Linked DNA regions of Mus musculus: regions 2, 3, 4 and 5 are each reported to be linked to region 1. Evidence: microRNA targets listed by miRTarBase, many of them from high-throughput screens and not tested one by one. Region 1 holds a microRNA gene; each other region holds the end of a gene's coding sequence. Distances are from middle to middle.

Evidence for each region. Region 1 holds the annotated microRNA mmu-miR-673-5p (CUCACAGCUCUGGUCCUUGGAG, at 2,954-2,975, opposite strand). A microRNA usually pairs through its seed, bases 2 to 8, with sites in the 3' UTR of a target mRNA and lowers its output. Matches are read on the target gene's strand: a 7mer-m8 pairs with bases 2 to 8, a 7mer-A1 pairs with bases 2 to 7 and ends in A, and an 8mer does both.
Region 2: the mRNA of Sox11 is a reported target of mmu-miR-673-5p. Seed matches in the 3' UTR shown: 7mer-A1 at 4,067-4,073, 7mer-m8 at 3,475-3,481 and 7mer-m8 at 2,383-2,389.
Region 3: miRTarBase lists Mrpl57 as a target of mmu-miR-673-5p. Seed matches in the 3' UTR shown: 7mer-m8 at 4,041-4,047.
Region 4: miRTarBase lists Mkrn2 as a target of mmu-miR-673-5p. Seed matches in the 3' UTR shown: 7mer-m8 at 1,232-1,238.
Region 5: miRTarBase lists Jph1 as a target of mmu-miR-673-5p. Seed matches in the 3' UTR shown: 7mer-m8 at 3,414-3,420 and 7mer-A1 at 1,716-1,722.

Annotation. Positions count from the first base shown.
Region 1 is chr12:109,569,875-109,574,978 of GRCm38, reverse strand. It overlaps Mir673 (microRNA 673), which reads right to left and starts at 2,989; the gene lies at 2,899-2,989. Meg3 (maternally expressed 3) reads right to left here. Exons shown (of 10, transcript NR_027652.1): 10 at 3,250-3,588. It also overlaps a transcript of Rtl1 not described here.
Region 2 is chr12:27,336,470-27,341,573 of GRCm38, forward strand. It overlaps Sox11 (SRY (sex determining region Y)-box 11), which reads right to left. Exons shown (of 1, transcript NM_009234.6): 1 at 1-5,104. The coding sequence ends at 4,752. Among named protein-coding and RNA genes, the nearest start is that of Sox11, 3.7 kb to the right of the region's middle.
Region 3 is chr14:57,826,276-57,831,379 of GRCm38, reverse strand. Mrpl57 (mitochondrial ribosomal protein L57) reads right to left here. Exons shown (of 2, transcript NM_026401.2): 1 at 5,058-5,104; 2 at 2,635-4,871. The coding sequence starts at 4,863. The coding sequence ends at 4,555. It also overlaps a transcript of Ska3 not described here and the pseudogene Gm22738. Among named protein-coding and RNA genes, the nearest start is that of Mrpl57, 2.6 kb to the right of the region's middle.
Region 4 is chr6:115,616,980-115,622,083 of GRCm38, forward strand. It overlaps Mkrn2 (makorin, ring finger protein, 2), which reads left to right. Exons shown (of 8, transcript NM_023290.3): 7 at 319-463; 8 at 615-1,691. The coding sequence ends at 752. It overlaps Raf1 (v-raf-leukemia viral oncogene 1), which reads right to left. Exons shown (of 17, transcript NM_029780.4): 13 at 4,837-4,883; 14 at 3,230-3,348; 15 at 2,806-2,937; 16 at 2,580-2,714; 17 at 1,590-2,430. The coding sequence ends at 2,287. Among named protein-coding and RNA genes, the nearest start is that of Mkrn2, 18 kb to the left of the region's middle.
Region 5 is chr1:16,993,345-16,998,448 of GRCm38, forward strand. It overlaps Jph1 (junctophilin 1), which reads right to left. Exons shown (of 5, transcript NM_020604.2): 5 at 1,594-4,215. The coding sequence ends at 4,135. Among named protein-coding and RNA genes, the nearest start is that of Gm46085, 100 kb to the right of the region's middle.

The sequences.
Region 1 (5,104 bases):
GAGGTCTTCTGGGTATCTAAGTTTCAGAACCTTGAACCGGGATTCTAGCTCAAAAATGTTAAGGAGGACCCTCTTTCTAGACTTCTGTGCTTCTGGCATCTGTGCTTCATCAGCAAATGAAAAGTACAGTCTTTGTTCTAGAACATCGTAAAGGGTCCTCTTTCTGGATAATTGGGCATCAAAGATTAGAGGTGGAGCTTAGCTTCTGAACAGAGTGGAGGTCCCCTTTCTAGATATCTGGACATCAGAGAGTGGGGATGGAGTCCAGGTTCTAGTACATTGTGAAAGTTCTTTATGGATGTCTGAACGTCATCAAAGGCTATAGATGGATAGAGTTCTGGGTCTATAACATCATTGAGAATGCTCTTTTCTGGACATCTGTGCTTCATCAAAGGCTGGAGGTAGATTCTTAGGTCTGGAACATCAGAGAGGTCCCTCTTTCAGGACATCTGAGCTTCATCAAAGGCTAGATAGAGGGTCCTAGATCTGGAACATCAGAGAGGGCCATCTTTCTGGACATCTGAGCTTCATCAAAGGCTAGAGAGAGGGTCCTAGATCTGGAACATCAGAGAGGGCCATCTTTCTGGACATCTGAGCTTCATCAAAGGCTAGAGAGAGGGTCCTAGATCTGGAACATCAGAGAGGGCCATCTTTCTGGACATCTGTGCTTCATCAAAGGCTGGAGGTAGATTCTTAGAACTGGAACATCATAGAGGACTCTCTTTCTAGACATCTGAGCTTCATCAATGGCTGGAGGGAGGGTCCTAGATCTGGAACATCAGAGAGGTCCCTCTTTCTGGACATCTGAGCTTCACCAATGGCTGGAGGGAGGGTCCTAGTGCTGGAACATCAGAAAGGTCCCTCTTTCTGGACATCTGAGTTTCATCAAAGGCTGGAGGTAGAGTCTTAGGTCTGGAGCATCAGAGGAGTCCCTCTTTCTGGGCTGGAGGTAGATTCTTAGGTCTGAAACGTTAAAGAGGTCCCACTTTCTGGACATCTGAGCTTCAAAAGCTGGAGGGAGGGTCCTAGTTCTGGAATTCTGAGCTTTATCAAAGACTAAAGGTATAGTTCTCACACTAGTTCTCCCTCAAGAGCATCCATATTTGTGAACATCTGAACATCACTCAAGAATGGAGCCAGAGTCTTAGCTCTAGAGCGACAAAAGAGCCAGTCTTCCTGGATATCTACAGTTCATCAGAGAGAGATTGAGTCTTGATTCTAGAAAATCAAAGAGGTTCCTCTTTTTACACATACAAACTTCACTGGAGACAAACAAGCTAGAGTCCTAGATCAAAATTATCAAGGCGGTCTCTTTTTCTGAGCTTCTTCAAGAACCATCGTTGAGTTATAGTTTTATATTGTCCATTTCTCTGGGACATTTGGGCTTTGTGAGAGACTGGAGGTGGATTCCTGGCGCTAGAAAACTGAACAGTTTCCAGATGTTTATGCTTTGGTGGTGACTGGTCTAGACTATGAAAGACTTCCTTTAGACATAGGAGTTCTCTTAGAGGCTACAGCTGGAGCTTGGCACTAGAATATCAAAGAACTACCTCTTTCTGGTCTTCTGGGCTTGACTGAACACATGAGCGAGAGTTAGAGTCCCAGGTCTAGAACATCACAAAAGAAAGCCCCTCCTTCTTGGTCCCTGAGGTCCATCAGAGGCTGAAGCTGGGCTCTGTGCTCTGACAAATCAAAAGGGCTTACCCTGGATGTCCAGAGTCTGTCAGAGACTGGAGTTGATGTGCTGGCCCAAGGACATGAGCAGACTCCTGAAGCTGGGTATCCTCATCAGAGGCTGGGTTGGGACTCAGGGCTGGACTATAAACACAGAACTCCACTTAGAGACACTGACAAAATGTGAGGCTTGTTTGAAAGCTGGAGATGAGTTATTTTCTTGGGAATATCAAAAAGGTCTTTTTTTTTTTCCTGGACATTTGGGCTCCATCAGAAGCTGAAGTGGAGGCCTTTTCGGTAACGCAGCATTAGGGCACTCACTCTGGAAGCCTGAGTTTCAAAGAGTTCTTCTGGGCTCTTGGACTCTCTCGGCTGGGCTCAGCATCTGGAGGCATGTCTTCTCACGGTTGTCTGCACTGCGACTCAATCACACATGCCAAAGTCCCCATCATGGCTGGTACTGGCTCTTCCAGGCTGGGTCATGCCCAAGTCTTGAAGATGGTGCTCTTGGCAGGGGGTGTTCAGAAGAGCATGCAGCTGCACTTGCCAGGTGCTTCTCGGTGCGAATGAGGAAGTGGGAAAAGGAGGAAAGACAGAAGGGGGGAGAAAGAGAAGGATAGAGGAGGAAAAAAGGAGAGGAGAGAGAAGAAAGGGGAAGATGAAGAATCAAAAGAAAAAGCAAAGACGTGTAGGGAAGAGGCAGAGGAAGAAGAAAAGTCAGAAGAGGAAGGAGAGGAAGAAAAAGGATGAAAAGAGGGAAGAGGAGAGAAGGGGAGGGGTGACGGTGGCGGTGGCAGTGGCAATGCAGCAGTGATCTTAGTAGATGCTGGTCACTGTGTGGCAACTGTGGTCTTGGTAGACATGTGGCAGCTGTAGTGATTATGACTGTCATCTTCCTCTTTGCTGGGGTAATGTTCGTGTTACCATCTGCTCTACCAAAACTCAGCTCCATTTCCCATCCCCTTGCTCCCAATTCCCTCCTCTCAGCTGCTCAGGCAGCCTGACTGTCCCCCCAAGGCCTCTCAAAAGCCATGAGGGTAGGGCTCACCTCCCCAAGCTCAACCAGCATACCTGATGCCAGGCATCATGAATGTCTGAGCACTCACTCAGACCCATTCAGGAACCACTTTTGTAGAAGCTGTGTTGGCCCCAAGTCCCAATGGGACCACCCATCTGGGTCAAGATGACGCCTCAGCTAGGGCCCTGGCATAGCCCCGGGGAGTGTGGAGGGCAAGGGGGGTGCACAGAACTCAGCCCCGGAGCAACATTTTCTCTGGAGCTCCAAGGACCAGAGCTGTGAGCCCCTCAGGCTCCAAAGCCAGACCTCCCACAGCTCTTGCATGGCTTCATTTCCAGAAGGAAACTGGCATCCCGAGCACACGAGGAAAGGGTTCTCCTAAACCCACCGAGCACAGGCCCTTCATCGGGCCCCAGTGTATCCATCTCTTAAGCACACACAGGGCAGCACAAAGGTGACTTTCTGGGGTTTGAGGCAACTCCTCTACCCCACTACACTACAAAAGGAAGCCCCAGCAAGACACCCACCCTCCCTCGTATTAGTAGCACACCCATCACTGCTTTAGTTAAAACAAGAAATTTATTGAAAGCACCATGAGCCACTAGGCCCCATGCTTCTAAGCACATTGCGGCTGCCTCACAACAGCCCTGTGAGGTAGGAACCTGAGCCCATTTCACAGATGTAGACTCAACAGTGAAGACACAACAGCCTTTCTCCCACCCCCCCAAGTCTCAGGGTCCATGGGTAGGGATCAAGGCCACATGCCTGACCCCAGGGTCAGCGCAGTTCATCAGTCAGTAGGTGGGTCTCTCTACTCAAGGGGAGGCCAGGGTCCAGAGTCTTGGGTCCAGCATGTCCCACAGGAAATGTGCAAGGCGTCCCCGTGGCTGTAGAGGCTGAGAGAGACACAGCTGCAGATGAAGCCATCTGCTCCCCATCCCCATGGCAGATAAAGAGTTTTCATGCACTAGGCAGGGTAGGAACTGGAGGGGGCAACCCAGCCCTGTGCTCAGAAAGCCTGAGCTATGTAGAAGGCCCAACTTCTGGACAGCCATGGGGGTGGGGCAACACCTACACACCAGCTCCTGACTTTTCCAATAAATAAAAACCTATTCTAGGATTTTCCATCTTTCTCATACCACCCCCAAGACTTCTAGCCAATTCACAGTCTATTAAACCTTGGTGGTTTTCCAAAGACTTTGGCCTTGCCCTCCTAGAGGGGTGTTCTTAATAGTCTTCCTGGTCTTGTATCTCAGAGCCTCCCATCAAAACTGCTGAATCCTAACATTTGAAAGCAAGGCTTTCTATGTCGCTCCAGAGCTGGGTAGGTGCTACCCTCCTGCCCTCCACTCTGTCCGAGTCTCACATGGACCTGAAGTTTCAGAAACTAAGGTACATCTGTACCCAGGGCCCACCTCCACAACAGTCAGTATGGGTTAGCAGACATGAGCACCTGCATACCAAGCAACAAAACACTCGTTTTCACACACACACAAAAAAAACCTCACTGAATCCCCCAATCAAACCAGGTTGGTTTGACTATTTCTAGGATATGGCAAACAGCCAAGGCCACCACACGTTCCACAAGGGACAAGGATGACCAGAACTCAGACCTTGATTCTCATGAGCCACCATATGATGGGCAGTCACTAATGACACCCTTTGTACAGGAAGAGAAACTAAGGCTGGGGATGATTCAGGCAAGCTGCTCAAGGTTCAGTTGGAAGAAAAACAAAAAACAAAAACAGGTCTGATGCCCAAATGGGTAAGACCCTGGGAACCCCTCCCCCACCCATGTGCCTACGGAGCACTCTGTAGAAAAGAAGAATTCAAGGGGTCCAATCTCCCCAGTCTGCCAGGTGCTTGAGGCTGTACCCAAATCTCACAGGTAACTTCTAAGTCAGTGCTGATTGTCACCAATGGTGGGAACAAAGGCTTTGGGGGCGAAATAATCTCCTTTCACCCAGAGAGAGGGGCCTCGGTGATGATATGGGCACAGCCAAGTCCACCTTAGAATTTGGGAACTGCCAAACAACTCCTTTTCAGGATCACTCAGGTCAAAATGTCAATGAGGACATTTTAGCTCTCAGAAAGTTTTATTCTGGACATAATATCTCCAAAGCAGTGTTTCTACCAGGAAGGGTGTCCTGTAGCTGACTAGATCCTGGGGAAAGTCCTTAAAGACCTCCTAGTCACCGGCCTATCCACATTCACTTAGCCTTCCCTACTTCATCATGGAGCAAGTATTAGGTGCCCACTACTTCAAGAGGCAGGGTGACATTGAGTTGGAGCAAGCCTAGAGCTTAGTCACAATCTAAGCATTCCCTTTTTGCCAGGCCCCTGGCTTCCCTTTCTTTACTTCCAAGAGACATAAGCTACCTAAGAGTCACCCAAAAACCTGGCCCACAAGGG
Region 2 (5,104 bases), 82 Mb from region 1:
GGCACACCTCAGCTCCTACCTATTGCTCTTTGTGGCTGTGGTGAACTGTGTTTGTCAAGTGCCGGCAACCGGAAGTTCCCAGTGTGTGGAAACCACCCTGTCTGGGCACAGGCAGACAGGCACTGGGTCTTCAAAGAATATCGCTATCCAAGAAAATTATTACTTCTATACATGGAACGTTATGAGTGGATTTCCCTTTGTACGCCATGCTATATTTTATGCACGTTTTGTGCTTTTATTGAGTATAAAAATAGGTCTCCTTTAAAATTCTGTTTAAGTTCACTAAAAAACTACTTGTTTGTGAAATTCTCTTATAAACTCACTGCATCCACATGGAATAGATAAACTAATCAGGCAGCTAACGCATCTAGGTAGTGTTAAAAAAAAAGAAGAAGAAGAAGACGATGGGAAAAAAATGAAGGTGTGTTAGGAGTTGGGAGTTGGGGAAAGGGAGGCAGCAGTAAAGGAATGAATGGGAAGTGGCTTGGCTTCAGTACTTTTATACTGTGGTGGAAAACATAAGCAACACACAAAGGGGGCATGAAAAACCCCAAACCAAAACCTGAGTTGTTATCAAAGAGCAAAAAATGTTGAGCTCATCAAACCCAAAGAGATATGGCAGGATAAATCAATAGGAATGGACAGTGAGAAAGAATTGATAATCAAAATAAGCCAACTCTCAGAGAAACACGTCAAGAATCGTTACATGGAGACGTTTACTTTGGGGACTTATGAATTCCTGTTCGGACACATGTAAGGCTCAGTCCTGTCGTGCTTGCAGGCCACAGGCTATACAAAGGGTATCTGAAACTGACATTCCTAATGAAGTTTTTTTTTTTTTATATATAAAATTTGGCCCTTAGAATAACTGAGAAATATCCTGAAAAACCTTCCCTGAAACTGTAATAAACAAAGTTTCTTTATCTACTGATAAAATCGACAACTCAGTAAGCTAGTTTCGCTGGTCTTCCTACATAAGAAAAAAGCACAAATATAGTTGCCTCAGAAATCTGTTAAAAGCAGAGAACCTTGCAGGAAAAAGAGTATAAAGATTCTAGAAATGAGAGAGTACAAGAAAACCTCTCTTCCAAGTGTCCACAAAGATACATATGCCCATTAGGAGAAAACAGTGAGACTATACAGAATACCCCATCAGAGAATAAGAAAGCCGAGTGATGGAGTATATTTCTATTGAATGACTACTTGAAAATTGAGCAACTTATTTGCCTTATTTCCCAGATTCCTTGGGCAAAACTCATTTGAATTCTGAAGTGAAGAACAAATGTTCATTTCTTACACTGTTCTAGTATCAAGATGATTGTGGTTTCAATTCCCAGAGAAAAAAAGTAGACCTTGCCTTTTGATTTTTTTTTCTCTCAAAACAACTAAGTCAGATCCTGACTGCTAAGAGCATGCATATTTAAATCACTTCCCCTCCATTAACATTAAAAAGAACCATCCAGGCCCAAAAGAGCTGCAATGATTTTTTTTTTCTAGCTAAAGGCTAATCATTCTACAAATAATTTGCCCAGTGACCGTAGTCATTCATAACATGTATTTGCAAAGCACACTTTAAGCACACTGCCTTTCATTCGTATTATCTTTTTAATAAGGATGCATATCGAGAATGTAGAAACTGGAAATTATTTCCACAGCTTAAAGAATAAGAGAACGCTGGTTCAGGTGTTTTTGTTTTTTTGTTTCTTCAAAGATGGAAATCTCGCCAAAAAAAAATGCACTCGAGTCTGTGAACTAGGTACAGGAGCAGGGTACCCAACCGGCTAGACTGCTATGCACACAACGCCCACGCCCACGTTACCATTTTAAGATACTGTCAATGCTCAGTTAAAAATAAGACTTACTTAGGAGGAAAAAAAATGCAGCTAACCTTTTATTGAAGCCTGGCCAGTAGCTGGAATACCTTGTGTATTAGACATTCAATAGAGTTCACTGGGAATGGTCTTCACAATGCATTCGTCGAAACCGCTTTAAATATTGTTAAAAGCGCATTCAAGCGCCTTTCCTGAGTTCTAACTGGGATTTAAAAAAAAAAAAAAAAAAAAAAAAAGAAAGAAAGAAAAGATTTCTTTTTTTCCTGATCTCCAACCAAGAACTGTCTCTTCTTTTCCTACCAAGAAACTCGGCCACATAATTTTAAAATACAAATTGCAGCTATGCTTCCATTCTGAAGCCAGATCCTCACTCCTTTTCTAATTTATTTAAAAGTTCCTTCCTCACCATGGAAAACGCCCGACGGGAAACGGGAACACATGCAAATGTTAAGAACTCAAGACACTCAGAATGCCTTTTCCTTAGGCTTCAGAATCTGTCCCCAGTAAACCGCTGGTGAAATTATTCGCGGCTTAAAGGTCCCCGCGTGGCTCACAGCAGGGCGCTGTGGGGGAGGGGTGGGCGAGGGAAGCCCGAAAAAGCCACACCGGGTCGCCGCCCCACCCACGCGCTATGAGATCGCGCTGCTCCGTGAGGGCGAGCTCTCTATCTGCAGTGCCTGTCTTGCGTGGGGCACCGACCTGGATCCCTACTGGTCAAGTCCCCGCGGTCAGCGCCCGCGCCGTAATGGTTTCTGTGGGTCTAGAGTCGGGCTGTTGGGCACCGAGTTTCAATTCACTGCTGAAGGGCTCCTCGGTCGCGTGCGTCGCGGCCCTGGGGAGTTGGGCTTGCGCGCGGGACACCACGAGGGACAAGCTGGCGGGGGGGAGGGGGCAGTGGGGGAGGGGAGGGCTGGACCGGGCCCCTGGAGGCAAATGCTCCATCAAAGAAACCAAAGCCATCCTGCACCGTGAAGGCGGCTCTAGGCGCATTTGCTTTCCTCGTGCCCCACCCGCGTGGATAACGCTGAAGGGCGCGGCCCTCTCCACTCGTATCTCATTGAGCGCGCGCGCGCGCGCGCAGCGATGCCGCCCGCGGATGGGGGTGGAGATTTAAAAAAAAAAAAAAAAACCAACAACAACAGAAAAAACCCAAAGCCAGAAGCGGAGGCCTAGCCCTGTGGACACTAGCTCCAGACTCGCCAGGCACGGACCAGCGCGAAGCCCACGGCGGGGATGGAGACGCAGGGCGGGGTGAGAAGGGAGGACACCGGGCTGCAACCTATGGCAGCCTAAGGGCTCCAAAAAGCGGCATCCGCCCTCCGCCACCCGCGTCCGCTGCGCGGTGAACACGCGGCTCCCGGGAGAGACTAAGGGCCATGCGAGCTTCTATCCGATCCTGCTGATTTATTAAAATCAAGACACAGACTTCAGCACACACAAAAAAACCCAAAAACCCCGGCGGTGACTTCGACAGTGCATTGAGTCTGCTTCGCCACCATTTGCTACTAAATATGCAATGGTCTGTTTATTTAATTATATTGCACAAAATGAGAAAATTTTAAACTATGTGCCTTTCCTTTTTCTTTTTGATAAAAATCGCGTATCCAGTTTCAAACCTTCTGTCTGGGGCCCCGTCCACACATCACAGCGATGAGATACATAGGTCCTACTATGATACAGTACATACAGTCTTAAACTAAGAACAGCTCTGAGGTCTAGGTCACCATTTTCAATAAATCTTTACCTACAAATATTGAACAAATCTCTACTATAGCTGTACAAAAAAGTTTGCTTTTTTTTTTAAACCACAAGGCCTTTAGATGCAAGGATTACTTTTAAATTTTTAATCCTTTTAAACCAGGACATAACGTACCAACATATTTGCATGCTAAAAAAACAAACAAAAAAGAAAAACAAAAACAAGAAGAGAAAAAAAGAAAAAGAAATCAAAAGGGAAGAAGTGCCTGAAAGTCTTACTGAAAAAACACAGCAAGATTGTTCCCTTTTCACTGTACAAAAATACGCCTGAAAATATATTAATTTTTAAAAAAGATTGAGGTCTGTTATGTATCAAAAATGTTTCAATACCTTTTTGTACTGAGGTCTAGGCTGTAAGGTATTCAATCAAGGAGGTATAAGGGAACGAGTTACCAAAAAAAGGTTGCCAAGTAGAAATCACATTTGTAAAACCATAAACAATTTGATCTGAAAAGTAAACTCTGGTCTTAAGTCAGTTCACAGTTATGATTTTTGTAAGCGTTTGTACAGACTGCATTTTTTCAAGCTCCCTGCAGTTTAAGAAATCGGATGCATAGAAGACATCAGCTTTCTCCCTCCAAAAAAGAAAATAAAATAAAAAGGTTGCAATGGTCCCTTTTTGTGTTTTTCTTTTTTTAAATCACCAGTTCCTTTTTAAATCTCTTAAGAAAAAAAAATCAACTCCCTAGAGTAACAGTTGTGCCGTCTAAAGGGTCCTCTGCCGATGTCTTTCAGACTTCAAAGAGCCACAAGCTTCAAACAGCGCCTTCCGGAGCGGGGCCTCCTCCCCTCCCCCGCCCGGTCCCCTCTGCCTTTGTTGCAATCACGAATTTCAGGAAAAAGAAATAGAAATTACAAAACACGTTTTTTTACGGGTGGGGAAAAAATCACAACTCCAGACTAGGTGTGCAACTACCTTGAGACACGATAAAGGACGGGAAGAGTGGGGAGACCAAAAAATTTTTTAAAAATAAAAATTAAAAAAAAAACTTGGAAAATCTGTTTAAAACTACTCATTTCACTTTAACTCCAACAACATTTCATCACCGTTTCCAATTTCTCAGCGCCACATCTCTCTGACCATGAGCATCTTCTCCCCCTCCCCCCACCATCCTCTTTATCCTGACCGCCACGACTGCCTCCCGAGGAGCCCTGCGCCTCTCAATACGTGAACACCAGGTCGGAGAAGTTCGCCTCCAGCCAGTCCCCCGCGATCATCTCGCTCAGCTCCGGCGTGCAGTAGTCGGGGAACTCGAAGTGGGAACCCAGGCTGCCCTCGCTGAAGGAATCCAGGTCCTTATCCACCAGCGACAGGGACAGGTTCCCCGCCGCTCCCGCGCCCAGTGGCTGCTCGCAGGCGCTGTGCGCGCCCTGGGAGAAATTCAAGCTCAGGTCGAACATGAGGTCGTCTGCATCCTCGGCGCCGCTGCCGCTGCTGCTGCCGCTGGATGAGGAGGTGGACACGCAGCGGGAGGACGCGGGCGACAGCGCGGGAGGCGCGGGCGGAGGCTGCT
Region 3 (5,104 bases), not on the chromosome of region 1:
TGTGCATATGCCCACACACACAACACACAATTAAAAATAATTTTAAAGGGTCAGAGTTTAATGTTTTAGTGCCTTTAGTAGTCTTGGCAGAGCAGATAGGTTTGGCAGTGGTCATTCTTTAGTTCTTTCTTATCTTCAGGAGTTGTACTTCATAAGAATATTCATTACATATACTTATCTGGCAGAGAGTTTTTACCATGATCATGAAGATGGTTTTCCCAAGGTGAGGCTTATCCATTGCCATCTGTATGTGCTGACCCCTGCAGTTTCCTCAAATGTGTGAAACTCGGATTTGAAATTTGTGGTAATGCATTGTCTCCCCTAAAAGGAAAAAAGAAACCTCTACAGTACTGTTAGAAGCCACAAAAGACTGAAGTGCTGTGTGTCTGACTCCACTACTGTTTGTGTGATGTGTCTAAAACATGCTTGACCAACCCCTAAGAGAGCTTCGAGTTGAGAGCTGCCACTTCTTTTTATACTCTTCTACCAGGTGCCTATGTTGGTTTAAAAAAAAAAATTGGTCTTGGTCTGTATCAATGGTGACAAGATGCTAGACCATTGAGCGACCTGTGAGGAGACACTGCCTTTTTCACATAGCCCATACATTCTACAGGGCTTTCGGTTATTTTAAAACGTCTAGGCCAGCAAGATAGCTCTGAAGTAAAGGCAGTTGCCTCCAAGCTGAAATCCTGGGTTTGGTTTCAGGAAGCCAAATGTGCACAGTAGCTTGTGCATGTGTAAACACACAAATGTAATAAATAGTCCAAAAATTAGCTAAATTGTTATGGTAGTAATCAAAGGAAAACATTTTGAGTATATGAAGACTTAAGCATTGATAGCCGGGTGTGGTGGCGCACACCTTTAATCCCAGCACTCGGGAGGCAGAGGCAGGTGGATTTCTGAGTTCGAGGCCAGCCTGGTCTACAAAGTGAGTTCCAGGACAGCTAGGGCTATGCAGAGAAACCCTGTCTCAAAAAACCAAAACAACAAAAAACAAACAAACAAAAAAACAAGCATTGATGAAATGCAGCCCTGAGATGCAACCTCTGAATTATCAATACCTGAAGGAATTTATACAGGAATGATAGAGAAAGCTAGTTGTTTGGAGAGCTTTTTACAAAGCAGTAAATGAGGAAGACCTATGTCTGTTACACTCGAGACACCAAGAAGCCATTAAAAGATTTTGTAGAGTCGAAATTGGAGCACTCCCCAGGTGTGGTGGACAGGCCTTTAATCCCAGCACTTGGGAGGTAAATACCTGGACTTTTATGAGTTCAAGGCCAGCCTGGCCTACATAGTAAGTTCCAGCCAGGACTACATAACAAAAAAAACAAATGAAGTACATCCTTGGGAAAATGGCAGCTATTGAGTGCCTTCCCGAGAATGGATGAGCAGCAGGAATAGGCCCTAGCTTCCCTGGTAAGGGAGGCCTGAGGTGACAAAATGCTGGGTGGCCAGTGAGGGAAACCAAGACTGCTGTGAGCTCTGGGATATGGGCATGGAGTAAGAAGTGGTAGCTCACAACTGTAACCCCAGCACTTGGGGACTTGATGCAGGGTTGCTCAAATTCATTTTGAGCCATATAATGAGACTGTCTCAAGGGGGAAAAATAAAAACTTAACCAGAAAACCTTGGTTTATGACTTACTTCATTTGACCACTGGCAGTAAAAGCCATGTATTTGGAAGATTCATCATTTCTTAGTGAGCCTGGACATAGAGTAAACTAGCTACCAGCAGCCTTTTCTTGGCTTTTTTGTTTAGTCTTTTTCCTGTTCTAGGCCTCCAGCCTGGGCCTTTGCACATGGTAAGCAAGCAGACAGCTAGCCCTGCCTGTCCTGGAACTCACTCTGTAAACCAGGCTGGCCTTGAACTCAGGGATCTGTCTGCTTCTCCCTCCCAAGTGCTGGGATTAAGTGTGCACCCTCACCGCCTGGCTTCAACCTTTTCAAATGAAAGTGATGCCTGTATCATGTAGCCCTTTCAAAGTTTTGGAGATGTTTTGTGTGTGCTGGAAGTACAGTTTGAAAAAACTCCTATAATCCCAGCACTGGAGGACAGTGACTATTTGTAGGTCAGCAGTCTCTGGATCATACTTTATTCTTCTTTCACTGTTTAATTTTGCTACCATAAACAGTACAGCAAGAAACAAATTCACTAGTATCTTCTGTGTTACTGCTGAGCATAAAGTGGTACAGTATTAATGGACACCATTTTGACAGTGGCAGTGTACAAAGGATTCATTACCACTTTTAAGACTGTTCCACACACTGTAGTCATTAAGAATGCATGTATACTGACATGCTTGACAGCAAGGTTTATTGGAGAAAAAAAAATAAATGTCCATTACCAATAGATGTTAACAGGCATATCTATATTATTGTGCATGTAATAGAAATATGGGATCTGTATAGATTCACAAAAAGGCCCATGATACACTAATGCAGTCAACAAGCAAGTTTGCTAGGCATGGTGGTGCATACTTACAATCCCAGCAATTGAGGGGAAGAGGCAGGAGGATCACTGACTTCAAGGCCAGCCTGGGCTACACATTTAAAAAAAGGAAGTTCAAATCGTTGAAAAATGTAACCACCAGAATGGATGGCAAAGGAAATAAATTACATTATGCATTTTTAAAAAGCCAATATAAATTATTTTACTTACAGATCCTTCTTCCCAAAAACAGAGATGAACAATAGTGGGGAAGTCAGGTTTCTACAAAGAGAATGAAGGATGCTATAGCAATGGAACCATGGTTATATGACAACTAAGTAGACTTGTACACATAAACATGGGTGCATATGCAAAGCTCTACAGAGTATAGCAATTTCTAGGTTTTGATATGGTTAGAGGAAAAATGTTACTTGGTTATAGTTACAATGGACTTGTACTTTTTTCTCTTGGTAACTTTATGAAATCACCAACTCAAAAGATTAAAAAGGATTGGGTATGGTAGTATATAGCACTAGGGAGACAGAGATCGGTGCCCATCTAAATTTGAGGCCAAGACTATACAGTAAGATCTGTATTAAAAAAATAATACTATACAGAGAAACCCTGTCTTGAAAAATCAAAAAAAATATATTAATAATAAAAAAATCCCAAGTTGCTCTGCATCTGTAGACCCAGAAACTCGGGAGACTCGGTCAGGAGGATCAATTCAGTCCATAAGTTCAACAACCTACACAGACCTACTCAAAAAAGTTGTGTGCACAGGTGGTGGTGGTACACACCTTTATTCCAGCACTTAAGAGGCAAGAGGAAGGCAGTTCTCTATGAGTTTGAGGCCAGCCTGGTCTACAGAGTGAGTCTGACAACATCTAGGGCCACACAGAGAAAACCTGTCTTGAAAAACAAACCAACAACATTAAAAAAAAAAACAAAAAACCAAAAACGGTGTTTTTAAACAAACTTTAAAAAAAAATTGCACTGTTTGTATCCATTTAGGAGTTCCAGGCTAAGGTGGGCAATATAGACGAGCTCAAAAAACCAAACAAACAGAAATTTTCCTGTTAACAGTTCTAGTAAACATCTTTACTTCACACGTCCACTCACAGAATCCAAATTCTAAAAGAAAACACTCTTCTTTTGGGAAATGGTCTCATCTATCTCAGGCTGGCCTCAAATTTGCATGGAAGTTGACCTAACACTTCAGATCCTACTTCCACTTACAGAATGCTGTGAAATCAAAGGCAGGCTCTATTCTAGAGCAGTGGTTCTCAACCTCCCTTACACTCTTTAATACAGTTCCTCATGTTGTGGTGACTCCAACCATAACATTATTTTCATTGTTACTTCACAACTGTAATTTTGCTGTTATCATAATACAAATCTCTGATACTCAGCCTCATGAAAGGGTTCTGCAACCACCACAAGGGGTCATGCCCAACAGGTTGAGAATGGCTATCCTAGACAGAAAGTAAGAAAACACCCCTTGTACAACAAAGCTCTAGCCAAGTACCTCAGCCTTAAGACTCATCAGTTTGTAGTTTTACAGCATTTAAATCTAAAAGGTGCAAGGTATGGTGGCACTTGCCTTTAGTCACAGCACTTGGGAGGCAGAGGCCAGTAGATCTCGGAGGTCAAGGCCAGCCTAGCCTATACAGCAAGTTCTATGGCTATATAGTGAGACAAACAAAAAAAAAAAAAACCCCACATTTTACAGAAGGGCAGGGAACCATGCCTGTAATTCCAGTAGCTAGGCACAGGGAGGGCTGCTGCAAGCTTTAGGCCAGAAAAAATAAAAAACAACCCTGAAAATAGACCGATTATGCACATATGGAGCCTCAAACAGTCTCTTTTGGCCTTCTGAGTCTAGGTCTTACTAACTACATCAGCAAAGATTTTCCTGCCTCCACCTCTTAATGTTGGGATTACAGGTGTGAAACAAACGCCTAGGTAGGGTCCCAAGTATTCCGTATGAGACAACTATTAATCAATCATGTTTGCTTTAATAAGATACTGGTCGAAGGGGTCACACTGGTACATAAATTACATTTTCTCAGCTCCAGGACCAAGTAAGGATAGAGCAGTCCGGTATCCATAATCTTGAAGGGTTAGGACCATTTCTTCGAGATGTTGAGATGGTCTAGCTGGTCTGCAATGTATCTATGCTTAGGGAACTTGGAAGTGGCCGCTGCCTTGATGGCTTCAAAAGCCTGGGCCCGTCGCTCCGCGGCGTGGCCGCACTCCTGCTCTGCTGTCATGTAGGGCATGCTGAGCCAGTAGTGGTTCTCGGCCTCCACCTCCAGGCGACGGATCATGCTCTCCTTCGCTTGGAAAGACACGGTACGCGGCCGCCGGTGCTTCCCGATCCACTGCCTGCCCGGAATGCGGCCGCGGAGGAGGACAGCGGTGAGGAACATGGTGCCTCCTGAGGAAATGACACGAAAGCCGCGGTCGCTGAGCCCCGGACCCGGGAAGCGAGCAACCGGCGTGCCAAGCTTGCGCCCACATCCCGCGGCCGAATCCAGAGCACGCTCGGCCTCTCGCCGGAAGTGAGTGGCCGGGAGCCGACTACACTGCAGGATATGGGGGTGGGGGCTCCCCGAAAACCCACCTCGCGTACCAACCGGCCCGGGACACGCTCCCCTCGGCGCTCCGCGT
Region 4 (5,104 bases), not on the chromosome of region 1:
GAGACCTGAGCAGAGCAAGTGAACCAGCTTCAGACCTCGGCATGCTGGAGTTATCCAAGCCTCACTCAGCCCTAGTGCAGCACTGGAGCTCAGGGATGGGGTGGGGGTGGGGCGCCCTGCTCCTAAGCACTGCCGCCTCCACACAGTGCATCCCAGCAGCTTTGCCTAGCTTGAGAATCAGAGTACCAACTGTGAGGTCAACAGGCCACCTCACTTCTCCAGCAAGGCTTCCCCAGTGGAAAAGAGGTAATGTAGCCAGAACACAGTAGTCACGCTTAATTCCATTTTTCCATCAGCCTCTGATTTTGTGTTTTTCAGGAAGAAGGCATGCAAATACTTTGAACAAGGCAAGGGGACCTGCCCCTTTGGAAGCAAGTGCCTTTACCGTCATGCTTACCCTGATGGGCGGCTGGCAGAGCCAGAGAAACCTCGGAAGCAGCTAAGCTCTGAAGGCACTGTGAGGGTAAGTAGTGGGCATTCCTGGGTGCTTACTGCCCAGGCTCCTAGTAGCTTTGGCAGCAGAACAGGAGTCAGCATAAGCAAAATACAAGCTGGCACTCATCGTCTGCTGCTATCTCCATTGACCCAGGGGTGCTTGTTGGCTGTTTTTGCAGTTCTTTAACTCAGTTCGGCTTTGGGATTTTATCGAGAACCGAGAAACCCGGCAAGTCCCCAGCACTGACGATGTGGATGTGACAGAGCTAGGAGACCTCTTCATGCACCTTTCTGGAGTAGAATCATCAGAACCCTAGTCAGTGCTGACGCCTTCATTTGGCTCTGCAGTCAACTTTCCAAGGCACGGTGTGGACGCATCTGTCACCGACCCGAGGTGACGTGGTACTGGGATGTGAGTGCAGTAGTGAGTCCCCCTGGGAAGGGAAGGGAGATCACCACGTCCACAGAATCACTACATTTAGAGTTGAGCTCTCAGTTGTACCTCCAACCCCTTTCTCCGGGACCAGCTATGTGGTCCAGCTGTTTTAATTGAGTGCTTTTAAATGAAACCTGACTGCCATCTTTCTTTTGTGACTTTCTTCCTTAAGCAACAGTAAACTTGCAGCAGATCTGGTTTTTTTTTTTTTTCCTTGCCAAGACATCGCCAGCCCTGTAGAAGGCTCCTCTGCAGTGATCATCTCTAATAGAGTTGTCGAGCCTTGGAATTGATGCAGCTGTGTAGTGAGAACACATTTGGCCATATTGGTGCTGCTGTACCATAGTGTAGACTTTTACAGCTGTGAGGGTGGCTATTGAGTTCCTTCCAGTGTCTCAAGTCACAGGTGTGTGCAGTTGTGAAGATCTCCAGGGAGACTCCATCTTACCCTCCCCTTGTACTAAGAGCACAAGACACAGGACTCACAGATTGCTTGTTCTCCCCTATAAAGTAGTAGGCTCCACACTTGTTTTTGTGGTAAACAGGAGCAGTCACTCCTCTGTCTAAGAACTGGGGGCAAGAAAGAGCAAATTTGTCCTGAACCTGAATTTATTTTTATAAGAAAACCTGTTATTACCTGTGTGCTTTTCACTTGGTTGTTCATGAACTGCAGAGGGGGCTCCTTGAGTTCTGTCTGCACAAGAAACTGCACTGCAAGTTTTGAAGGAGTCAGTAGCCATTAAACCTAAATTTAATTTATTTTATTAAAATAACATAAGGAACCAACTGTATTGGCTCAATAAAAACAAAATTAAAACCCAAAATCATTAAGAAAACCTGTATTCCTGGCTTTCTTACAGACAAGGATGTGGCTACAGATAGGGTTGGGCCGCGGCCCACCCCATAGGGGCAGCTCCTGGAAGACAGATTCAGCACGTGGGAGGCTGCCAAAGGTGGAGCACCGCGCTTGGAAAGCCATCCACACAGGACACCTTAGACACAGTTTGTCCACAAAGTTCTGTAGTACCAAAGCAGGCTCCCCCAGGTGGCCAGGACTCCATGTGCAAAACTGGCACTGCACCACTGTCCATATAGGCTCAAGGAGCCAAGTTCCCAATTGCATGTCCCTGCAGCAGCCGGAGTGCCCTACCTTCTCCAAGGCCACTTGCCCTACAAATACTCAGCTGACTTGTATACCTCTGGAGCTGAGCAGGCTTTCTTGGTGGACAGCTTCCATTTCCAGGGCAGGAGGGGTAGAAAAGAAGGCAATATGAAGTTAAGGCCCTGTGAGTAGTCTAGGTCCTTAGCAGCAGCAGCTTTTCCAAAAACATGCATTCTGCCCCCAAGGAAACAGAAAGTGGTGCCTGCTGACTCTTCTTCGTCCCCTGGTGGCCTAAGAACAGCTACATCATCAGCTAGAAGACTGGTAGCCTTGGGGATGTAGTCAGCGTGCAAGCATTGATGTCCTCAGTGTGAGCTGCCCGATGCAGGGAAGGCTCAGAGGCGCTCCTGTTGATTTTCGGCAGAGAGTGCTGAAGCAGCTCGATGGAAGACAGGATCTGAAACAAGGCCCCACGTGGTCTCATTAGTTGGAAACTTGGTATCTCCCCAACCATACCAAGAGCTTGTGGAGGTCCTCTCTCCACCGACCCAATCCTGGCCCACATTTACATCCTTAGAATGTTATATTTCAACTGAGCTCTCTAACCTGGGGAAACAAAGGTCTCTCTTCTTTGACTTTCTTCACACAGTCAGCCACCAACCTCTTCATTGCCTTGGGGCAGTTCTTGTAGAGCCTGCTGAGATCAGGGGATGCATACCCACGGCCTACCATGAAGATGATCTAAAGAAGAAACAGTTGAACAAAGGAGTCTGTGAAGGAGAGTCCCAGGACTAAGTAGCCCCTCACTGTGTCGCCCGGCCATGCAGATCACCTGGTCTCGGTTGTTGATGTGGGCGTAGGGAAGCTCCCCAGCCATCAGCTCGTACAGCACGATGCCGTACGAGTACACGTCGGACTGGAAGCTGAACGGGTTGTCATCCTGCATCCGGATTACTTCTGGGGCCTGTAAGGATGAAGTGTGTTAATCCCTAGGGAATGACCTCCAGAGACATTGAGGAACCAGGCTATTTTAACTAGTCAGGAAGGAAGTTCAAGTCCTTAGCCCAGGGTAGCTCCTCCCACAAAACCCCACAGGCGCTGGCCTCTGTTGCTTTGCCAGGATATGCGGTTTTGCCTTAAGCTAACTGACACCACAGATCAACCAGACCCCCATGGCTGTGCAGAAATGCTGTCAAATTTTGCACCCTACTCTGGCCCAGTAATTCCATCATGTTGTGTGGGGCCAGCTTCCTCACCATCCACAGCACAGAGCCAGTGGGCTGTTCAACCTGCTGAGAACCACTCCAGCGTGACTTCACTGTTGCCAAACCAAAATCTCCAATTTTCACCGTGAGGCCTTCATGGAGAAATATATCTCGATGCTTGTTAAGGAGACTGACAGTTTATACTGTTTATAACAGTGCTTCTGGCCTCCTTCACTTCACTACTAAATCTTTCAGGAGACAGGGAACGATGGCATGCGCACACTCAATTACAGGGCCCCACACTGCTTATCCCCTCTGCCTACATTTGGTACTCAGGTTTACCACCCAACTGGTCTACATTGTGACTTCTGTCAGCTTACTGCTAGGTAACAGGCAATTTTGGTCTGATTTGTGACCTGCTGATTTATTGGAATTCAAGCCTTAAATCTTGGCCCAGTGCTTAGCTGCCGAAAAAGAATGACCTCAAGAAAGGAGGTCATGGCCACCGAATAAGCATAGCTCATTGGCCATGCAGAACAGCTGAGTTTAACCACCCTGCCATGTGCCATCTTACAGCATGAAAGGTGCAGTTGGTAAGGAGATGCTATTTCTAACAGTGGCCTCTAGGCTGACTTCTGTACATTTAACAGAAAGTAGCCATTTTGAAATTTCTGGAATTCTGGGATACTGGTTCTAAGATGCTAATTCCAGGAGACCTTAAGAAATATTGTGTCCTTTGAGTTAAAAATAGGAGGTCAGGTGATTAGTGGAATTTTGGTTGAAGTCTGACTCACAATAGTTACAGTGGGCCTTCAAACTGTTTCCCCTGGGAAAAGCTAAATGGAAGCCTTTAGCAGGGTCTCTGCCAGGGATGGGAACCAAAAGTGTCACATCCCTGGCAGAATTGCAGCAATCAGTGCTACCATCAAAGACTTGAAAGATGCAGGGGTGGTGATTCATGGCCAGTACAGAAGACAGATGGACTGTAAAAAGTGACAGGCTATACCAGATGTGGTGTCCTTACTTGAGCAATTAGCATACTTCCTGATATACGATGTGTAGCTACTGACCTAGCAAATGCCTTTTTCTTTGGTATCTGTCCATAAGGACCACCAGAAGCAATTGCTTTTGATTAGAAAGATCAACAGTAAACCTTTAACTCTCCAGCCTTGTGTCATAACTTAGTTTGAAGGGATCTTGTTCATGTCTCTTCTACAAAATATCACATTGGTCTACTATATGGCTGACATTATGCTGGTCTGAAAAGTGAGCAGGAGGCAGCAATCACTTATGACTTGTTGGTATTAGATACATGCATCAGATACTTTCCCATCTGTATGCAGGCTTACACCTTCCATAGGCTCAATAGAAATAGATGCAATAACCTTCTCAAGCTATATTCTGGATAATCTAACCAGGCTGAGTTCAAGTCTATTTCAAGTGTGTATCGCCTCAGAAGGAATTATTTCCAGATCACTGTTGGTTAAAAAAAATAATAATAAAACCTTAAGGAACTCTCATGATCACCATGTTTGGCTTCTCAACTATATTTCTATTTTCCTTTAAAAGTCCCCTTCTCCCCATTCTGGCACCATGAACCATGTGTGCAAAAAGGCCCTTTTGGGTCCTTAAGCTGAGAACTCAATACCAAAGGATACTGTTGGATTTCATGTCTCTGTGGATGATGTTCTTTGCATGCAAATAGCTGTGAAGGAGAAAAATCACTCAGTTAACCACCTCACTGCCCTTCAGCTAACTGGTGGGTAGCACTGTGCTCTGCATATTGAAACTTGGATTTGCTCTGCAAACCAAGCCAGGCATTTCACCTCACATTCTGCCTATCCAAGACAAACCCAGAAGTGGGAAGGCAGATTGTCAGAGGCCGGGGATGGCTGTGAGCTGGATTTTTTTCTGGGCGGTAAGAAC
Region 5 (5,104 bases), not on the chromosome of region 1:
ATGGGAACTCTTAAACAATTCAGACTGTTGCCAACACTATAAGTTGCTTTCCACAAGCTGACAGCAAAGCTCCATTGCTGAAGACAATATTTACACAACTCACTGAACATAGAGAAGTTGAGTTGGTACCAACATATAGATTCCAACCCTCTATTCTAGTTGTCTCTACTACAGGAACATACTCAGCACACTATCAAAAACCAAACCAAACCAAATCAAACCAAACCAAACCAAACCAAACCAAACAAAAATACCAAGGCAGCCACAAACACTTTGATCTACAATGGTGTCCTGCCTGCAAGATATATTATTGCAATGGTAGCACAAAGCCTGTGGGAGTAACCAACCAATAACTGATTTGACTAAAGAAATAGAACCCACACCCAACTATGCTTGGGTGAGCAAGAACCAGAGACTAGATAGTCCAGGGACCTAGGGTAAATCCAAATACTAGTCTTAATCAAAAGAAACCAACCAATCAACCAACCAACCAACCAACCAACCAACCAACCAACCAACGAAACAACCAACCAACCGCACCAACCACCTCCCTAGAAAACACCTATTCTGCTATATTCGTAGAGCAGTTCTTTGTCCAGCCATGGGAGATGCTTCTTCCTGCATTAGATGGCAAATACAAAGGCTCATAGCCAGGTGTGCAGAGACTGAGAGACCTTGGTACACTCAGCACTAAATGGGGCGTCTCCATCAAATACCTCCCTTCAGAGCTCAGGAAACCCAGAGAAAGAGGGAGGAGACAGAGTGTAAGATCTAGAGGGGATGGGGATCAAGAAATCAGTAAAAAAACCAAGACCCTCTAAGTCAACATGAGCAAAGCTCACACGAACTCACATAGACTGAGGCAGCATGCATAGGACCTGTGCATCAGGTCCTCTGTGTATATATTATGGTTTCCTGTTTAGTGTTTTTATGAGATTCCTGAGTGTGCAAATGAGTGAATGGGTCTCTGTGATTTCTGTGCCTTCTCTTGGGCTCTTTTCTTTTGCAGGTTTGTCCTGTTAAACTTAGATGTGATAATTTTGTTTTATCTTAAACTATCTCTTAGAGCCCATTCTTTTCTAATAGACAGAAAGGGAGGAGATCTGGATTGGAGGGGAGAAGTTGGGAGAAGTAGAGGGAAACCATAATTAGGATATATTATATAAGAAAATATCCTATTTAAAATAAAAGGAAAAAAATAGAGAGAGAGAAGAGAAAAATCCCAGTATAAAAGGCAAGGAGACAGAGTGTAGCAGTATGCCTTCTTTCTGCCCCGTGGTTGTACTGGCCTTTCCCCCCTTCTACTGTAATTCTTCAGCACATAACTTTTGTAAGTTTTTCTATTGAATTGCTTTAATTGTAGGCATATGAGTGTGTACACACACATGCCATGGTATATGTGTGGAGGTCAGAAGACAACTTTCATGATTCTGTTCTCTTCTCCTATCATGTGGGTACTCAGGTCATTAGACTTGACAGCTTCCTAACCTGCTAAGCCATCTCATCAGGCAAGGTCTCTGTTTTAATACTATCATCTCTAACATTCCCCACACCTCAGTCAATAATTTACTCACAAAGGAAAGACACTTCCAATTTTATTAATAACCAACATTTTTATTAGGGCAGTTACAGTTGTACAAACTGTACATTATACATTTTGGTTTCAAGGATTATAAATTAAGGAACCCACCAGTAGGGAGGTGGTTTTTTTTTTTTTCACAGAAAGAAACTTTAAATAAACAAAGTCATGTTTTATTAAGTACATTGGCAGACTTCACGTGCTGTCCAAAATGTAGAGTACAGTATAACAACCCATTAGAAAGATCCTTCATGGAAAATACAACTGTGCACATTTTAGAAAAATACCCACAATTTGAGCATTGTTTTAAAAAAGCTTATAAATCATATATATTTATAAATGTAGCCAACAAGCTCACTTCATAAACATCTTTTAGTTCTCTGTTGCCCATTATTTTCAAAGCATTACACATTTAAATAAACACTTAATAATATTAAATAGTCTATTTTCTTAAAAAACAACAACAACAACAACAACAACAACAAAAACAAAAAACCCAGCCTTCCCAGCATAAGGAGCTACAGGGGAGGAAGGGGCAGGGAGACTGTGGGGACGACAGAGGAACTTAGCTTGCTCTTGAGTAAAAATGGACTCCCTAAATTTAAAAGTCAAAGCAAAATGTAAAAAATAAATATACAAGTTGTAATTTGATTTTTATTTGCTCTCTTTCTGCCTTCTTCCTTAATCCATACTGGTCATACCCTAAAGTCTCAATATATCGCCCTTCTGGAGAAGCCACTGCTGGCTTACTATCCAGAAGGTGATGAAGCACTCAGTCCTCCCCTGTGCTGCCAGTGGAGTGACACGCACTGTCCCTTCTGCTCTGCAAAGGCTCCTAAGGGAGAGACTCGGCTGACACCATGACACCATGGACAAAAGTTAGGAAGACTTCCCCCTCCACCAGGTAATGCCTTTAAGAGACTCAGACATACCTTTCCTACCCTGATTTCTTTTTAAATAATTATTTTTTATAAAGATCATGTAGTTTCCCTAAGTAAGCATGCTTCTGAATAAATTATTTAATAGAAAAAAATCAATATCAGAATGATATAGGACAGCAAAAGACAAATATTTAAAATAAAACCGTCTAAGTCTTTAAAATTTAATATAGAATTACAAAACAACTTTGAAAAACATTGAAGGCAGAGAAGGGGCAGTGACTTAACAAAGCTTAAACACCTGAAGGCATTCAACCAAAATTCGCGTTGGGGGTGGGGTGGAGAAAGAGAAGAGTAGCTATTAATAGATCTTGCTTAACTTTCATGGGAATTAATAGAGCCACTGACAAGATTTTATTTGGTTGTAACGTACGTCAGCAATGAAACTGAACCCGTAACCACTGATTACTGCAATCCAAGCAACATTTTGACTTCACTTCTTAGTATTCGGTTGTCTGTCCTTCAGCTTTTAAAACTTAACACCTCCTGAGTGCATCAACAACTCACCTCAATGATGTTAAAAATATTTAAAATTAAATTATTTCTTTGGAAGGTATAATACCATCAGATCACTATATTTTAAAGATAAGTAACCCTTTATTGGTTTAAAAAGAATAAACAACATGAAAACAATGCATTGCTATTAAAATAAACACTATATATACATACATACATACATTTTATATATATATATATATATATATGTATATATAGATATATATAGATATAAACTAGTCTTTTGTTGCTGCTTTTCCAGTGTGTTCTCATCCAGCCAGGACTGCAGGTGGAAGATGACATACATCATATTTAAATCAACAGCAGAAATGAGCAGAGTCGTGCACAAGCAAATGAAACATTCCCTTCCAGAACATTCCAGGAGATGTTAAAGCAGCAGGTCACAGCAGAAGACTGCTGAGTGACGGTGCTACCTACTTCTAATGAGATAGGAGTGAATGTTGGAGCCACGCCCACCGCAACACAATCCTCAGACTGCATTCCTCTGGCAGTCCTCTCTCTCCAGCTCCCTACTAAAAAAACGTCAGATGGTAAAATAGTAAGGCAGCTGTTGACTTCTATCAAAAAAAAAAAAAAAAATCTGCAGGTCCATACATTTCCAGTTTAGTCACATTCTGCTAGGACAGATGGAGTAGCCAACGTCGAGAACTTCGCCGGATGGGGCTGCTTCAGCAGAGTTTTAAAAAGTTTTAAAAAGAATCATTATTAAGTTTTGCTTTTCACCATGCTGGGTGCTTCAGCTCTCAGAGGACCCCAAAGACACAAAGCATTGCTGGGGGACGTGAAAGGTCCTCTGGCTGAATTTTCCAAGTTTCATCTCTCTTGTGATCCCATCCCGATCTAAGCGTCCTTGCCTGTGTCTGAGTCGGACTGGGATGTGGACACCAAGGCAGAACTGTGGGCTAACTCTACTAGTTGTCATGACTTCACTGATGAGTCGAAACAGTTATAGCAGTTAAGTAACCATACTGAGTCACATTCAAAATTAAAGTGAGGGACAATGCCATTGTTTAAAAGAAATTGTAAATTGGAATTAGAGAAAACGATATTACTATGATTATGTGTAGAAATTAAGGCTATGCTTACCTGTCCTAATTCCAATCAAGTCAGAAAGTGAACAAAAAGAATGGCCAACCCAATATTCAACAGCATGACCAGGACAATCATGATGGAATTAGGGCCCTAAGGAGAAACAGAACAGAGCAAGCACAACGTTTTCATGTCAGTATGGCTGCTTGACAGAAACCCATCACCAGAACCAATTAGCAGAAATATAAGCATAAAAACATTGTGGCAGAAACTAAGGCATGAAAGATAATCCATAAGGAATGAATTAAGAATAGTAATGCTACATTTACATGGTGTCACCATCTAACTTCCACTTAAAATTAGATTTGAATTAAATTAAAAAAATGGCTTCAAGTTGGGTGAGGTGGCACACACCTTTAACCTTGGCACTCTGAGTCTGAAGTCAACCTGGTCTACATGGTGAGTTCTAGACTAGCAGGGCTACATAATGAGACCCCTCAGTATTTTTTTTTTCTGTAATAATGTACTTTATTCATCTCTCACACTGGGACAGGTCACTGGTAAGGAGCTGGGAGGTAGTGGGATTCCATTGTCCTTAGAAAGTGAAAGAGTCAGAAAAGAAGAGTAGCCCCTCATCAAGGCTGTTAGAAAATAATGAAAGCAGGGGATTTCATTCTTCCAAGGAAGGATTCAGAACACTCGGGGAGGTGCTTTTATTTTAATAGGGTATCATGTAGCCTAGACCAGCCTTGAACTCATTATGTAGGTGAGATGACTCTGAATTTATGATCCTCCTTTCTGGGCTTCCTACTGTGTTGGGATACAGGTATACAATACCATTCCTGGTTTATGCAGCGCAGGGGACTAAATTCAGAGCTTTGTGCATGCTAGGGAAATACTCTACCAACTGAGTTACAGGTTCAGCCCTCAGCTTAACTCTTGCTTTTTTTTTTTTTTTTTTTTTTTCTGGGTCTTTTTCTGGGTTCTACTCCCTCCTTCCTACAAATAGGAAGTTGAATACTTACAGAGACATACATTTTTT